Linked DNA regions of Oryzias latipes. The protein of the gene in region 1 purifies or fractionates together with the protein of each later gene. This does not show direct contact. Links are inferred from orthologs where the notes say so. Each region holds a gene or a part of one and is shown in the gene's direction. Other genes may lie near its edges.

Region 1 (3,658 bases):
AATAACAAAAAAAAAACCAACAAGTTCACATATTTTATCAAAAAAAAAAAAAAGAAAAACTTTTGCACAGAGCTACTGAGCTTTAAAAAATTAAAATCTTTCAAATTTGTGTCAATTCAGGACTTGGTTGCATTGAAACCATTAGATGAACTTATTGGTTGTTTTTGTTTTTTCCTCTGATCTTTTGAAGAAAACTGTTTGATTGCATCCATTATTTTCAACTTCATCTCATCTCTATTTAAATAGAACTTTCAATCAACAGCAGCCGACACAAAGTGCTGAACACGAGAAATGAAGAAAACTAACACTAAAACATCTTAAAACACAGAATTAAATATAGAGAGATAAAAACAATAAAACCAGTACGACAACACAGCAACTTATCAGTTGCAAAAGAATTGGCAGCCTGATGATGGAAATGGAGCGAGGAGATCTGAGGGAATCTTCGTGTTGGAAAAAAATACAGGAAAAAATGGGAATATCCTAATTTCAGCATGTAGCTGGAAGGAAGGAAGGAATGACGGGATTGACTGGAATTCATTCATATACAAGTTAGAATGCGTTCTGTCTAAACAAAATAGAAGTTTAGTTCTGCTTGTCTGACAATTGGCTGTGAGCAAAATAGATTCGTTAGTGAAATTAAAAAAAAAAATGTCTGCATAAATTCTATTTATCCATCCATTCACTCCATTTTGGTATTGGCTTTTAAAACAATATTGAAAAGCTTTCAGGTAAATAAGTAGATTTCCGCAGGATCCAAATCTTTAGCTGTTTTAAGTGGAAGTTTTCTGAAAATAAGCAGAAGCCATAAATATTTGGTAAGATGTTCTCATTTTTGTTTTGTAGAACGATTGAATAGAAATGAACAAAATACATTTTTTTGCTCTTTTGACAATAATGAACAGGCTGCTTTTAAAAATGTCCTGGAGTTTTAGTCTTGAAGATTTGTAGGAATCAGTTTGCAGTTGGCAGCAGTTTCTCATTGATGTTTTTCTCTGCAGCGACCCCTACGCTGACCCCTACTATGACTATGAAATGGAAGCTTTGTGGCGCGGGGGCCATTATGAAAACTTCAGAGTGCAGTACACTGAAGCCCCCATTCCTTACCACTTCACTGTGAGTATCCACCTCTGACTTCTAAAAAGCTGGAATTTGATCAGATCAAGAAAATAATTGTTTGGTTTTCTGTTCTCATAACACATTTGGGTTTGATGCTGCTATCGCTTTTAGTCTTTACTTGATTTTACATGTTAAACCAAGCACTTCAACACAAATGTCATTATGTGTGCGCGTAATGACAATAAACTCCGATGTTGTTCATTCTTGTCGGTTTATATCCAGTGTTTAGCCGCTGAAATTTGCCTTTTTGTTATTTTCAGTGCAGACTTATACCATGCAAAATCAACTTTTTTAGCTTTTAAGTGTATTATAAGGTTAATTCATCACAAAAAACAACCCCAAAGCGGTACTTTTGATCCATTCACGCATCTTTGAGTATTCCTCTAAAAGCGGAAGTGTGTTGGGTGCACGCATTCGTGTTGTGTGTTACGAAGAAAGGATAACGGTAAAAAAAGAAGTCCCAAATATTAATCCAATCGGTGACCTAGTCCGGTCTAGTAATTGATATTTATTACTGAAATTTGAATTGTAATTCATCAAATTATTCTGTTAATTTTTCAAATGCTAGGTCTTAAAAAGTCATAAATATAACTTGAAGAAGCCTGTAGGAACCCTGAATAATGAATACTTCTGAAAGTAACTATTTGTTTAGCGGAGTGACTTTAACCCATAAAAACCCAGACCAATTTTTCCTAAAAATAAACTTGTGTAAAACCTAGTGGACCGCTGAATCCATTTCTGATATTTTTCTTTTACACTGTCACCATGGGTTCCTATTAGAGGTAAGATCTTCGGGTCAGGCACTAAATGACAATCATTACGTTCGGGTCGGTTCGGGCCTGGCTTCTCTCTCGCTGACTTTTAAAAAAAAAATATTGTAATGGCTGCAAAGAAGCTCCTTAAGCAGGCGGTTGTCAAACAGCTCTTTATTAATCCTGTACCACAGAACGGTTACCGCACGAACCGAAAGGCACAGCCAGCTTCTTCTTACTCAGAGGGAGAACGTTCACGGAACACACACACACACACACACACAGGTAGACCCCGCCCCCCAGTCACCACCCCACCGTTGATTGACATACACTGTAACTAGCAGAAAGAGGGGGGCGCCGGCCACCCGCAGCTCTGCACACGTGAATGAACGTGTCGTGAATGTAATTTTCCCTCCGCAAGTCCGCATCTATTTTGTTTAAGTATCCCCGATATGGAGCAGCATGAAGTCAAGGATACACTTAAGACAGGAGAGCTGAAAAGACAAACACTCACCGCCGCGGCTGCAGTATTTCTCCGCATTAAGCGAGTGCGCGTCAAGATCTCTCTTTCACTCTCTTTGTCTGGCCTCTTATTCTGTGTTCAAGCGTTATTTCATTGTGCAAATGCATTTATCATGATCATAAAAATATGTAGATTATTTTAACCTTAAATCTTGCGTTTTTTTTCTGCCAAAAAACTATGGGATGAATTGAAATTTCGGGTTTACTTCAGGCTCGGACCTGCAAATCAAGTTAATTGGTCGGGTTCTGGCCGGGTTCGGCTTTAATGCCCGCGGGCCTGTGTCGGGTCGGGCTGGATTTTTCAGGCCCGATCTTACCTCTAGTTCCTATTGGTGAAAGGATTATCAGTTGACATTTTCCTCTTTTCTTTCTTTTTTCCAGGAGCGCGAACGCGAGCGGGAACTTCGGGAGCGTCACAGAGAGCGGGAGAGAGACCACCGTGAGCGGGAACGCCGACAGCGGGAAAGGGAGCGGGAACGAGAGCGGGAGCGTGAGAAGGAGAGGATGAAGCGGAAAGAAGAGTGGGAGAGGGACCGGATCAAACGCGACGACAAGGAGCGGCCGAGGATGCGTCCTCCTCGAGACCCCAGAGACAAGAAAGAAGAGGAAAAGATGAAGCCGCGCTCCCCCCCCAACCTGCCCGTCAAGTAAGTGACCTTCAGTGACCTGGGAGAATCACAGAATCGACCCTTTCCTTCCTCATGTCAGGTCTTTAGTGAAACTTAAAGGAGGAAAAAACACAATGAATGAGGAAAAAGTGTCATATGTCTAGTCGCGTATGGCTCATTTTCTTATAATACACGCATCTGTTTAAATGACAGAAGCTTATTGTTACAAGGTTTTAGTATTGCACTTTTATAAAACATACTTTTTTATACATCTATAAAAGGACGATCTATTGAGACCTCTTTGGCCTCTTCTGGAGTTTGCAAAATTCAGTTTTTCAAGACCATCCTGTTCATGATCTCATTGTTACCTCAGGTGGCTTTTGGGTCAAGTGCCTTGCTCAAGGGTACCACAATGAGTTGACTCAAAATGTGCTTGTCTAAGTTCAAACTAGTGACTAAATGACTTGCCAGGTGTCCCACTCTAACTACTGGGCCTCTTTTTTTACTTTGATCCAATTAAGAACAGGGACACCCGGTGGCCACGTTGAGCTATAGCAACCTCACAGATATAGCAGAGCTAACGCAGTTTAAAACTGAGTGGCCACAGTCCTGCTTGTTATCCAAAAATGTCTGCTGCTGCAACTTCTGGTGGACTTG
Region 2 (3,658 bases), about 4.5 Mb from region 1:
ACATCAAATGAGGGTTTTTTTTGTTTGTTTGTCTCAGTGGGAGTTGAGATGGGAGACTGGCAGGAGGTTTGGGACGAGAACTCTGGCTGCTATTATTACTGGAACACTCTGACCAACGAGGTTTCCTGGGAGCTGCCGCATTATCTGGCTGACCAGGTGCAGAGCCTGGGTCAATATTCCAACAGGTGAGAAGATCTCAGCTCTTTGGACCAACATTAGGAAATGACGCTGTTCTGAAACATCGTTCTGAAATCTTTGTTTTTCTAGTGTCAACGGCAAAGACACAGCGCATGCTGCGTACGTGGCTCCAACAGCCGCCCCCCCAGCTGTGAAAGAGACCAAATCAAAGGCCAGTTTGGTTGAAGTTCACTCAAACTTGAATCTGCTGGTCTGTTCCTGGAGAGCTGCTCCTCTGAGGTGTTTTCTGTCCAACAGGAGGTCATGGAGAGCGTCGTGGCCCTCACAAACGAAGAGGAGGAGCACAAAGGAGTGGCTGCCTCTCTCCTCGCTCCTCTAATCCCGTCGGAAGTGAAAGAAGCTGAAGAGAAGTGGAGGAAAAAACTGCTCAAAGGTTTGGACGAACCAGAAAACAGTTTGGATCCAGACGAAGCTCAGAAGCCGGTAGGATCTCCCTCCACACCCCTCCGGGAGTCAGACTCCACCCCCGCCGCCCAGAAAGATCTCGCCATAAAGAAAACATTGGGAGAAAACGCAGAAGCTGACGATGCGGCTGAGGAGGACACGATGGAGCTGGAACTCGCTCTAGAGAGGAAGAAGGTGGGTCGTAGACGGGTCCGGGTCACAGTAGAACCAGGACTCTCATTTGAGTTTTATTTCTGTTAAACGCACATCAACGCTGACAGCTTAATGAAAAGAGTCAAAGGGAAAATGGAAAAGTTTAAAATTAGTTGAAGAATTTAGAAGAAAATCCAATCAAAGCTGCAATTAGCTGAGTTAAAGTAAATAATACTAAACAATACTAGTTTTTATTCTACAGCAATACACATTAATAAAATGGCTGAAAGACATAAAGGCCTGTTCACACCGGGACGAATTTCGCCGGCGATTTTCGCCGATGTTTAACGCCTCGTGACTAAACAAAGGGCCCCAATGAGAGTGTGCACACCGACGCGAAAAAACGCCAGGCGTTAAAGCGTCAAAAAAAAAAACCGCCTCGGGTTCGTTTTTTTTTTCTCGTCGCGTCGAAATCTACTCGACCAATGAGAACGGCGCTTTTGCTCACGTGTCTGGAGCTTCTGAAGTTACAGTAAAACACAACTTGGGGGCGCTCAAACAAAACTGCCTTGCTGAGCACACATACCAGCGAAGAAGTTAGACGCCAAGTAGCGTCTACACAGCAGCGAAGAAATAATGACGGACATTCTAAAATATCCCCGAACCAAGCACCAGTTGGAGCTACTGATGCTTGAAATATTCATGTTTTCTTTGTTTGATTCTGACAAGCGCGTAAATACTTGCTCTCTTCTTCTGAGTGAAAAGCGACTTTAAGAAGCGTAAAGTTGCGCAGCGCCACCTTGTGTACAGGAGTATTTCGGTTTTACATTAAGCGCCATCTAATGTCAGGGAATGAAATTGCATGTTCACTCGGCTCATCGTCAGCGAAAATCGCCTGGGTGTGAACACAAAAAACGTGGCGAAAAACGCTGGCGAATAACGGCTGGCGAATATTCGTCCCGGTGTGTACGGGCCTTAACAAATGTAATTCTGTGTCACCGTGGATGTTTTTATAACTTGCTGGTCTGTGGTCATGTGATGTTTTTTTAAGGTATATTTCTTCTTTTTTCTGATCTTATCAGGTAAATAATTGTTTTAAAGTTTGAATGTTTTACTGATCAAAGAATACTTTTTAAAGTTAAGCTTCAGACAAAAAAATCTCTGGAAAACAGATTTACTGAACTTAAAGAACAATTACAATTGTTTTCTTAACATGAAAAAAAAAATAGAAAATAATGCATGTAAGAGTTTTTTTTTAATGAAATTTTCTTTTATTGTTGTTATATTTAAAATTAATTCACAAACTGAAAGTTATCTGCTGACATTCTTATCCCATGGACCTTTAAGGATCTGAAGGTTTTCTGTTCATTTTTAAAATAGTTGTCATTTGAAAATCCAACCGTCTAAGCAGGAACCTGAGGGTAAACTATTGAAAATGAATCTAAAGAGGATCTGGATGTGAGCCGTGGATGTTGGTACATTCATACAGCGTGACGAGCATCCCATAATTTCCCCACCTTCTGAGTGAAAACGACTGTTTTTACGGCTCAACCTGAACGGGTTTCTCACCTGCCCCTCAGGCGGAACTGCGGGCGCTGGAGGAGGGCGACGTGAGCGCCGGAGGCTCCAGCCCGTGTTCAGAGGCCAGCCAGGAAGCCGCTGGGTCCCGAGGCGTCCTGCTGAAGAAGAGCCGCTGGAAAAGCGTCTTCCCCGCCGCTGACAGCCCAGACTCCAACAGCAGGAGCTCGGACCTGCCGGACAGCGCCGACACGGGTGAGGATCTGTGCGGGAAAACCTGCTGACACTTCGAAAGCAACTGCTTTCATATTTAGGCCTGTAATAAATGTCAACATCGTGCTTTTTTAGCTCCGCCTACAGTTCTGGAAAGTCTCGTGGAAGAAGAGAAGAAGGAAGCCGACAGCTCCGAGGACAAAACCGCCTCCAAACCTTTAATAAAAGACGAGGTTGAAACGCCTGAGCTGAAGGTGAGCGGTCGCCTGTCGGCTTGACCTGGGGGGGTTTCCAGAAAGCAGGTTATGCTAGCTCCCACGGTAAGTTTGAAGCTAAGGAAGTTGATAACCTCAGCTTTCAGTTCCAAAAAACAGAGGTATGTTTCAGGGTTTGTCAAGTTGCCATAGCAACTGATGCTCTGAACATAACCTGGTCTGGAGCAGGTTTAGTTGAAGGTTAGTTTGTTTTCAGAGAGGTGAAGCAGCATGGCGTGTCCATTTGAAGATGATTTAGTGGATGAAGAAGCTCAGATAATACTTTTTCCACCATGAGAGGATGATAAGACCACATATGGATGTTGGAAAGAGAAACTTTTTACCTTGATCTAACTTAATTATTTGGCTCAGTTAAGAAATCTTTTTTTAGTTAAGTCAGCTTAAAAATAACACGTAGTTTTCAGACAGTTATTTTACTTTCATTCAAAATAATTCAATTAAGTAGTTGTAACTTTGGTGCTGCTGTTAGATCGGCACTGCAAAGGATTGTGGGATACCTTTCCCTTTCGGGACAGATTTAGGTTTTTTAACCAATTGTGTTTAGTTGTTTAGCGGTTTTACTGTGTTTTGTCTAGTTATTTGGCCTGTTATGTTTAATTCTGTCTGCACCATGAGTGAGAGGGAGGGAGAGGATGGTGAGTTTCTATAGCATCACTAGTGTATCAGTATGGAATAAGAACTAAGTTACTGTAAAAGTCATTGTAATGAAGCTATGCTTCATGTTGTAAATCCACACTGTATCATTTATTTTAATTTGATGAAAATGAGAAAATCTGCTGCCTCAAACTTAGACATATGAGAGTTCAAGAAGTACAATAAATTAAGATGAAAAACATTTAATTGAATTGGAGTAAAATGACATTTAGTTGGATAAATATGTAAATTTGAGTTGGATAGATATAAGAAACTAGGTTGAA

What was found.
Region 2: the proteins of zc3h18 (region 1) and fnbp4 purify together in Homo sapiens (affinity purification with mass spectrometry; 3 studies listed by BioGRID and IntAct, counting the BioPlex papers as one, with this or other methods). This does not show direct contact. The link is inferred for Oryzias latipes from reciprocal best matches to the Homo sapiens genes ZC3H18 and FNBP4.

What each region holds. Positions count from the first base shown.
Region 1 is NC_019864.2:26,610,768-26,614,425, forward strand, and holds part of zc3h18 (zinc finger CCCH domain-containing protein 18), read left to right. Parts: intron 1-1,001; coding exon 1,002-1,116; intron 1,117-2,774; coding exon 2,775-3,040; intron 3,041-3,658.
Region 2 is NC_019864.2:31,062,135-31,065,792, forward strand, and holds part of fnbp4 (formin-binding protein 4), read left to right. Parts: intron 1-37; coding exon 38-185; intron 186-267; coding exon 268-349; intron 350-435; coding exon 436-777; intron 778-2,315; coding exon 2,316-2,508; intron 2,509-2,601; coding exon 2,602-2,720; intron 2,721-3,658.